2 linked regions of the Bombyx mori genome follow. The protein of the gene in region 2 interacts with the protein of the main gene of each other region in a pairwise test. Links are inferred from orthologs where the notes say so. Each region holds a gene or a part of one and is shown on either strand. Other genes may lie near its edges.

Evidence for each region. The genes of interacting proteins can lie anywhere in the genome.
Region 1: the proteins of ribosomal protein S6 kinase delta-1 (region 2) and proteasome zeta subunit interact in a two-hybrid assay, tested with the Drosophila melanogaster proteins (2 studies listed by BioGRID). The link is inferred for Bombyx mori from reciprocal best matches to the Drosophila melanogaster genes CG7156 and Prosalpha5.

Annotation. Positions count from the first base shown.
Region 1 is NC_085134.1:3,203,268-3,208,599, forward strand, and holds the start of proteasome zeta subunit, read right to left. Parts: upstream 3,788-5,332; 5' UTR 3,595-3,787; intron 3,486-3,594; coding exon 3,229-3,485; intron 3,011-3,228; coding exon 2,832-3,010; intron 2,561-2,831; coding exon 2,448-2,560; intron 1,852-2,447; coding exon 1,690-1,851; coding exon of another isoform or gene 1,669-1,689; exon of another isoform or gene 719-1,668; intron 1-718. UniProt on the Drosophila melanogaster protein: The proteasome is a multicatalytic proteinase complex which is characterized by its ability to cleave peptides with Arg, Phe, Tyr, Leu, and Glu adjacent to the leaving group at neutral or slightly basic pH.
Region 2 is NC_085134.1:499,285-504,128, reverse strand, and holds part of ribosomal protein S6 kinase delta-1, read right to left. Parts: intron 4,682-4,844; coding exon 4,505-4,681; intron 3,306-4,504; coding exon 3,211-3,305; intron 2,950-3,210; coding exon 2,779-2,949; intron 2,247-2,778; coding exon 1,881-2,246; intron 1,576-1,880; coding exon 1,463-1,575; intron 1-1,462.

The sequences.
Region 1 (5,332 bases), about 2.7 Mb from region 2:
CGAAACAATACATTGAAGGCTATTCGCAATGTGATTAACCCATAGACACAGCCCACTGAGTTTCTCGCCGTATCTTCTCAGGGGGTCGCGTTTCCGATCCAGTGGTAGATTCTGCGAAGCACTGCTCTTGCTAGGGTCAGTGTGACACACGTTAGGGCGAAGCTGAAATAGCCTCTCAAGGCTATCAGCATAGGTAAGAAAAAAAGCAATGTAACGGATCCCTTAGACGAGTGGCAGGACGTTTTGCGTGTCTGCGCGGGTAGGTATCACCACCCTGCCTATTTCTGCCGTGAAACGTACTGCGTTTGGAGGATCGGGCATTCGTTTTACTGTAAAAACTCAGACCTTAGAACTCATGTCTCAAGGTAGCTAGCGGTATTTATACTGTAGTTGTCTATGGACTCCAGTACCACTTAACACCAGGTGGGCCGTGAACTCAACAACAACAAACAAAATTAGACTGAACGAGCACAATAAATGTGGACTCCGGATTCACTGTACAACCCACTATAGGAGCTAAGTTTAGTAAGGAAATCAAATGGGAAAGGTCAGAACTGATACAGGTAATATGACTAAGGTTGAGTAGTCAGTCACTGAATACCATATCACGGATACCAGATTCTATAATATTCGATCGCACGCGTTGTCAACAACCGCTCTCCGCAAAAATAATGAGATCTCCGGTGAGATGATGACGGTAATGAAATAATTACAAAAATTTTAAATATGTTACATATTTTTATTAATAAACAGTAATACTCACTGTTCAACGCCCTCATCCTTGCGTGATATTTTAAAAAAACTGTGTCTAAATACAATACTAAAGTAAAATATTCACGAAACATTACCAATGAAATACTCAGTATAACTACATGATATAAATCAAACACATACAAGGCTGTCAATCTCAGATTGATGAAAATAAACAGTACATATAAAACAGTTTATAACTTTATCTCAATTTTCAATTCTATAATACAGAATAATAATTTTTGAGACTATTTGAGTGTGAACGATAGAAATTGTAAAATTATTTACTTTACGAACTGACAAAATCTGTATCTGTTTAATGAAAAGTATGAGAATGACAACAGTTACAATTCAAAAAATACTAATATTATATATAAAAAAGGATAATAATAAATATCATAATCAATAATACAATATCTTTACACAATTTTCTCAAAATATAACTCGATATACAAAAAAATTAGTTTTTATTAATAACTAAACAGTTAATGAAGGAAGTGTAGACATTAATTATTATAGTTCTAAAAGTTTATATGAAAAGTAGCACTGTCTGACTCAACACAGTTTTATTCATGTGTTCTGAATTATTATTTTGACATGATAAACATGAATTCATTATCCTTATAAAAAAACTATATCTGTAAATCAATATCTATTGATAAGTTAAGAGTAATACAGAAAATATCACAAGGTTTGGCCTTCTAACAGAGTTGATCTCTTTATTATTTGAGATAAATGCCCTACCTACTAATGAGCCAAAATACTTTATAGCTTTAGAATCCCAATTCCACTATCTTATTTTAAAGGGTGGTGTTTCTGGAAATTCCAAATAAATGTGAGATTTATAATAAGATATGATTAGTTATTTAGTGCCATATGTCTAATCTCCCTTCAAAAACTGCACACCAAACTACATTTTTAAGGTATGTCTTTGATAACCTCAGCAAGTTGTTCCCTTGTGAACATGTGGAACAATGATCCAGGAGTCATTGTCACTACTTCAACATTGTTCTCCGAGAGCTTTTCCTCCATGACCTGCTTCAGTATGGTGAGTGCAGACTTGATGGCCTCTTTGAGGGTCATCGACTTGTGATAAATCTCCTGGTATGAGAAATTATGATTAGTCTTATCCCAGTTTTTCAAATAGGTTTAAATAATAAAACCAAGAGCACTACATACTACTCACATTTATTAATTTTTTTTAAACACTAATAAATGCAAGCAGTGCATGTAATGATAGTTGAAAGACCAGTAACTAGACCTATTCCTCATTAGCTCTTAATTGAAAAGTCTTTAGTCTAAAAGTCTCAAGATTACCTAATATCATCAAAAAAATGTTAGTATAATAATCTTTTAGTTGACATATTGTCTTTTTGCTTTAAAAGTGTACAATTTCCAAAAATATTCCAGTATTTTTCTCATAAATACTGTCAAAAGAGCATAGTTTAGTTTTATGTTTTTTTTTAGTTTACCTATATTTTGACTACTATTAACAAAATTAATACATAATTTTATCTTACTTTAAAAGACAGTTAATGTATCTGGTAAAAAATAAAAAATAAATGTTGCAAAGATGATTAATATTAAAAATATCACTTGATAAACCTTTAAAACACTCTCCTGTAAAATTAGTAAGTTTTGAGATTATACAGTTTTAATGCGAGAAGACGATATTATGGAACATCCACTGTACTTACCTTCAAACTCTGCTGGGCACCTTCACTGCCAGAACCAATGGCCTTGGCATCATACTGCACAAATGTACCACTCGGGTCCATATGAAACAGTTGAGGGCCTTTCTCATCAATGCCTGTAATTGGATATGAAATATACATCATAATTATTTATAGAACTATTACTCTGATGAAATGCGATGGATGTGTTTTTTTTTTGCATTTACATTAATACTTTTACTTATATTTATAAACAAGCATTTACTCCTAAATTCTTATTTATTTAGCTATACACACTAGAATTTTTTATGGGCGTTATTTGAGCAAGAATTATATATGAAAGAAATATAATCACTCTTCTGATGTATATATAATTCTAAAAAACAAACAGCTCTAAATTACACATACCTGCAAACATAACAGCAACACCAAATGGCCGTGACATGGCTGTTCCGCTATCATCGTCACTGTCTCCAAACTGTATAGCTAAGTTGGAAACGGCCTGAGCACATGATTCTACACTCATACGCTCATTGTACACAAACCAGTGGTTTTGACATTCAACTCGGGCCCTTTCAACTAAGGTCCTGCAGAATTATATAAAAAAATTAGTGTCGCATATTTTTTTAACATTAATTTTTTTTTATTGCCCTTGTAGGCAGACGAGCATACGGCCCACCGGATGGTGAGTGGTTACCGTCGCCCATGGACTTCAGCAATGCCAGGGGCAGAGCCAAGCCGCTGCCTACCAGCATATACCTTCATATAAATAATCATAATACATTTTCAGTATTACGAGACCAACCTGGAGTCGGCCATTAGACCCGAAACGGCGCAAGCGATGTGTCGATCTACTTCAACAATCTTTTCGATGGTCGTGGGTTCCATCAAAGTTGAAGTTATCCTTTTTTCCACCGCCAAAACAACTCCCTCCGAAGTACAAATGCCAATTGCAGTGGAGCCAAGTTTGATAGCTTCTATGGCGTATTCCACCTGGAACAGCCTTCCTTCAGGGCTGAATGTGTTGACGCCGCGATCATACTCGGAACGTGTGAGAAACATCTGGGAAAATTGTGAAAAAACCACCGGTTGAAAGGTTAGCCGAAGTCGTGACAAAGCGATTTTGTTCATAATACGAATTTTCATTAAAAATGAATGATCTAAAACATACTTTACTATTAGGGTACTCTAGATGACACCACGATTCTAATAATGAGAATTCTTAGTCCAGGTTTTATCTTAATTTAATTTAATTTATATTCAGAGAAAATTGGAAACATAGAAAATAAAAACCAACTTTTACAAAACACTGTGTCAAATTTGTTTGAAACGTCTATTGAACAAGCAATGAAAACGCAGCCTATACAGCCGAATCTTAACTTACCCAAGCCAAAGCTATTTCTCTTGCGCAAAGGGTGAAATGGAATGTGACAAGGATAAAATGAGATGAAAAAACTACTCAAAATATAAACCCAAACTATTGAGATAATATATCACCTCACGCTTACGCCAAAAAAGTTAACATGATTCTTGTCAATTTGTTTTTCTTCGATTTTTTTATATTTTCTACGGTAAATTGAAAACTCAATAAATTTTTGTTTTAAAAACGAATCTTGAATTTGTATCTTCCACATTAGTGAAAGCTTCTTGTTTAAATTATAGTGTAACTTTGTTGCCAATAGAGTTTGCGATAGAGTTTATTTTGCATTCAATAAGTTTTAAATACTTTTATTGCATGCATAAGTGAAAACGAGGTGTCAGAGTACATGATCCAGCGTTTAATAATCATAACACGCGCACTTTATAAAAGTTAATATTAATCGATTACAATATGTGAAATTGTAAGTGTTTTTATATTAATTTTTTTTATTTTTTATTGCTTAGATGAGTGGACGAGCTCACAGCCCACCTGGTGTTAAGTGGTTACTGGAGCCCATAGACATCTACAACGTAAATGCGCCACCCACCTTGAGATATAAGTTCTAAGGTCTCAATTATAGTTACAACGGCTCCCCACCCTTCAAACCGAAACGCATTACTGCTTCACGGCAAAAATAGGCAGGGTGGTGGTGCCTACCCGTGCGGACTCACAAGAGGTCCTACCACCAGTAAAAAAGTGTGACTGCAAGAACCCGAGAACCACCTGGCAACTGTGCCACCAGTACCACCCTGCCTATTTCTGCTGTAACGAAGTAATGCAACTCGGTTTGAGCGAAGGTGGAGCAGGCGTTGTTCCGTAAAAACATCCCTTTGAACTCATGTCTTAAGGTGGGTTGCGGCATTTACGTTGTAAAAGTCTGCAGGCTCCAGTAATTACTTAACACCAGATGGTCCGCGAGTTCATTCACCAATCTAATAAAAATTCCCCTTTTTAACAGCAGGCGCCTGTCGCTTCGCCCTTTTGTAAATAGCGAGATGTGACTGTATGAGATAAAATTCCCTTGCCTGTCTATTGAAGGAACCAAACAAAAATATCTGGTAAGTACCTATATTATCTATGGGTCTCGTAGTAGGTGGTGACAAAGTAACTCTATTGGTCAATTAGCAAGGAACTTTTACTTAGACTCAGGTTTAAGTTCAATAGTAAGGTAAAGGGGATAGTTTCAGAGATCGATTTACACTGCTTGCCATACCAACACGTTACTGGTCGATCAGTTTATAGATGATCGTTTCTATACAGTACCTTGTTACTACTACAGTAGCATTGCTTAACAGCTTATTCCGTGGTTACTATTTGCAAGTCGCAAGCTAGCCCATAACAGTATCAACTAGCCCTATGTTATCACAACTTTAACAAAGCAATCAGCAAAGGTTCTTATCAGGTCAGTGTACGATGTACATAGGTACCTATCATTATTTACAACAGACATTCATCCATTATTAACTTATTGTATTAATGTACACATACG
Region 2 (4,844 bases):
TTACATGCATCGAACAAGTGGCTCGTCATATGCTGCGATACGTGTACTTTACGCACCATATGCAACAGTGACGTGTCCTCACACACCATGACGTCATCGGGGATAGTATCGCTGCCACAAGGATGTGTACTTCAGTCTAATGACTTAACGATATATGCGCATAATCGTTATAACAGCCGTGTGAAGTTAGATTATGAAATTGCAAGTACAACGTTGGACAATTCAGTAAACAAAATAGTAAATTTAACATACAACTACACTCCGAATCTGTTCCAATCTACAGCACGTGAAACAAAAATTATCACTAAAGAGATTGCTGAGCAAAAGGAGCAGGAAAAACACTTTCCGTCGACCATCATATCAGCGCATGACATACATCAGTATGTCATTACATACTTATTATTAGTAGCAGCTCTGGTTATTGGTCTCGTGTGGGTTGTGAGGAAACATTCCCACTGCTTAAGGAAAAAGAAGAGCCATCCACTTGCACCCACTGAAGATATCGAACTTCAAACATTTCACCTGCGGCACGACCGACGAGATGATGGTGTTCAATCCCAAGTCGCGCCTCCACCGAAGCCAGCCCGAAGCGTAAACACCAGTGGAACCAACTTTGCCTTTAGTTTTGATTAAGTTAAATTTTAAGTAATTTTGTTGTGAAATGTCATTTTATACATATTTTTACTTTTACCTTTACATTTTTAACTTTTATATTTTTTACATTTTTATTTAAGCTTACGAACTATTTCATTTATTGTTAATCAATTGTTTCTTGCTCTTTTGGGTTGCCAAGATGTACGGTTTGTACATACCTAAATAATACGTGGACACGCCGTGCGTCGTCATTGTGGTGTCAGGTTATTTTATTATATTATTAGAGCAGTGCACTTAGCAACACGCACTCGTTAACACGTTACCATCTGTGCTTAACCGACATAATAAAGGTGCTCAAACAACACACTAACTCTTTGGAACTCAACAAACTTCCCCTTGGACCCCAACACTTGCGCTCTACCGTTCTCCGGGATAGACGTGACATAAACTATATTACAGTAAGAAAGTTGCGATAAAACAATCCCAAAATCAAAACTACGTAAAAAAATAAATCCTACCAAGCTGATGGTCTTGAAAGGCCATTTCAGCGTAGCCCTAACAAGTAGGTGAGCTCACAGAGCTCAAACCTAACGAGCGTAAGTAAAAAACTAAATAAGCTAAATCATAGCGATATTTTAAATAATTCAATTTCCATGTAAGAGCAACGTAACGCAAAGGCAGACCGACCGGGCACCCACGAAAGCGCGTGTGCTGTACATTGCGTGCTAATAAAAACGCTTTAATATAGAATAGCTTTTTGTATTGTTTCGATTTTCCTGTTGGGCATCTCTAGCTGTGCGCGTCTGGACAATGCACCGTCCAGTGCACTAGCAGTACTGCGGTGCCGGTGTAGAGAGCAGGTACCCACACGCACACCACGCCGGCCGCGTGCAGACTCTCCAGCGCGGTCACCAGCTCCGCGGCCCAGCGCCGCACCGCGCCCGGCGGCACCGCGTCCCGGTACCGCATGCGCGGCTCCAACTATATATATATATATTTGTTACCCACATTCATTACAAAACGAAAAAGTTATAACACATAAATGTTGTGTTCCTGTTAGTGTGTAACACTGTCTATCAGTTGTCCAGAAGAGATTACTTCGAACGACAAGACGAAAATTCTAATCTTAATTTAAATTATCAGTTAAATTATCTTGTAAAGGACACAAGAATATTCCAATTATAATGCAAAAAATAATAATCATAAGGCATTTTTGTTAGAAATGAAAATGCATTGAAATTTAGTTATAAACAAATATTGTATTATACAATATAGGATGCGCTCACCCCGGTGCCAGCGGCCGTGGTGTGCTCGTCCGGGGTAGTTGTCTGCGCGCCGCCGCCCAGCGCCCGGTCCACGGTCAGCAGCAGCTCCTTGGAGTTGTGCAGCAGGTCGCGCACGTCGTCCCCCGGCGCGGCGCGGTCGGCGAGCACGCAGCGCAGGTCGGGCGGGCGCGGCTTGGCGGCGGGCGCGGCGGCGTACCGGCGCACGTACTCGCACAGGCGCTCGCCCGGCGCGTACGTCAGCACCAGGAACAGCGAGTCCTCCGTCTCGATGAGCGCGTGCAGCCGCACCATGTAGGGCGCCGGCCCGGGCAGCACGGGGCGCCGCCACTCCCCCTCCGGCTCGTTGCTCGGCACCTTGTCCAGCACCTGCGACTCAACCAGCTGGCTCACCGGGCCTCATACCTGCTATCCGCGTCTAGGGGTGTGCGGGATGTGTGAGACTCAGCGGTCTGCAAATGGTGAGTTAACCCAAGGGCCGACCGCGGGCCCAAGGAAATTTTTGGGGGTCCTACCCACTAAAAAACTCCCTTGCATTTTTTTGGTCAGAACCCGGACAGAGTGTGAAGAGTCGTTTAGTGGATCGCATCTTACAACTCAGCAGTCCCGCACCCGCGCCCGCTGGAGGTTGAACTCGCCGGCTCAAAAAAAAACCTAACGAACTGGAGCCGGCTCTGTACGTGTGAGAACAGGGTTATTTACTTCGCACATCATCTCACTAAGAGCCACACGGTAAATAGTCGCCGGGCCCGGCCGCCCTGACGCATGAGGGGGAAGTCAAATATGTTTTTTTATGAACTATTTTAATGTGAATTCTAGACCAAATAATCTTTTAGTGCGTTTAAAGTAATTCAAAGTGAAACAGAAAAAAAGTCGACTATTGGCACGGCAGTACTCGCACCTTCATGACGTAGCACGTGTCGGTGCTGGCGTGCAGCACCAGCAGCAGCCGCGGCCGCACCACGCCCAGCAGCACGTACGCGCACAGCTCCGCACGCGACCCGCTCCGCGCCGCGCCGTCCCGCGCCGCCCCGCCGCGCTCCGCCACGCCGCGCGCCACTCCACCCGCGACCTGCACAACCGTGAGTTCACCGACTCAGAAATATATAATTAATTAACTATATATTTATGCATATTGTCACAGGAAACGATATTATGAAATTTCGCTAACAATTTATGAATGAAATACGTTTTAGTTTGAATAGATTATCGCTACGAGTATAGTCACAGTGCTCGACGTTAACTTTACTTAGGGATTTAGAATATAAATCATTAGAATTTTACTAAAATGTGAAGAACAATTCTAATGGAACGTAGAGTAGTGTGTCCTCACGTGCTGTGTGCGCGCGCTGCACAGTCGCTCTGCGTGCGCCAGGTAGGCGTGCGTGCGCTGCCGGACCAGCGCCCGCCGCGCGCCGTCCGCGTCCGCTGCAACACGCGCCGCTGTACCGTCCGCCGTGCACCAGCCCACGCCAATAGAATAGTGCGTGCAGGGCTGACACTAGCACAGTTTAACTAAATAGATAAATTCTCCACATTCCAGAGCCCAGCCCACTGAGTTTCTCGCCGGATCTTCTTAGTGGGCCGCGTTTTCGATCGGGTGGTAGATTCTGCGAAGCACTACTTTTGCTAGGGCCAGTGATAGGAACATTCCGGCCCCGTGAGCTCACCTACACACGTTAGGATGAAGCTGAAATAGCTTCTCAAGGCTATCAGCATAGGTAGGAAAAAAAACCAGAGCCCTAATGAATATTGACAGCCCACGCCACAGATAATATAACAAGTACAAACAAAGGATTTTTTGGCGGGAGGAGTGAAGTTGTGTGATTTGTTTTGAATTTTGTTTATTTCGTTTTTAATAACGGTGGTTTATTAAGTGTTTAGTATCTGTGAAAGTGCATAAATGTGGGAAAATGAAACAAAACTGCTGAACGTAATTTTTAAGTCCACTGAGAAAATCTCAGTAAATAACCACCATTTTACTAAAATCATATTTCATCTCATCTCATTTCATTTAATTTCATGACAATTCATGAAGTTTAAACAAACAAGAAGAAATAAACAAGAAGAAGTACTAGTGTGAACGTTCATTAAATTCGGACTGTACTAGTGTGAGCGTTCATTAAAGTCGGACTGTACTAGTGTGAGCGTTCATTAAAGTCGGACTGTACTAGTGTGAGCATTCATTAAAGTCGGACTGTACTAGCGTGGGCGTTCATTAAAGTCGGACTGTACTAGTGTGAGCGTTCATTAAAGTCGGACTGTACTAGCGTGGGCGTTCATTAAAGTCGGACTGTACTAGTGTGAGCGTTCATTAAAGTCGGACTGTACTAGCGTGGGCGTTCATTAAAGTCGGACTGTACTAGTGTGAGCATTCATTAAAGTCGGACTGTACTAGCGTGGGCGTTCATTAAAGTCGGACTGTACTAGCGTGGGCGTTCATTAAAGTCGGACTGTACTAGTGTGAGCGTTCATTAAAGTCGGACTGTACTAGCGTGGGCGTTCATTAAAGTCGGACTGTACTAGTGTGAGCGTTCATTAAAGTCGGACTGTACTAGCGTGGGCGTTCATTAAAGTCGGACTGTACTAGTGTGAGTGTTCGTGAGTGGTGTCGCTGAGGTGCTCACAGCGGGCGCCGACGAGTAGCTTCTCGATGCCGGCCTTGTAGTGGTCCAGGGCGCCCGCGTAGTCCCCCGCGTCCTCGCACCGCGCCGCCAAGTTCAGCATGTAGCCCGCCTCGAATATGTAGCTGTCCTCCGTCCTCGTCCCGCGCCCCGCGTGCGAGGGGGACAGGGCACTGTCTGCTACGTAAACACTATCTAATTAGTGAAGCCGGGACTTTTTGGCGGGAACGCAAGAAGTGAAGTTGTGTGAATTGTTTTATTTTGTTTATTTAGTGTTTCTTCAGGTTTAAATGTGTAATAACGGTGGTTTATTAACTGTTTAGAATCTGTGAAGGTGCACAAA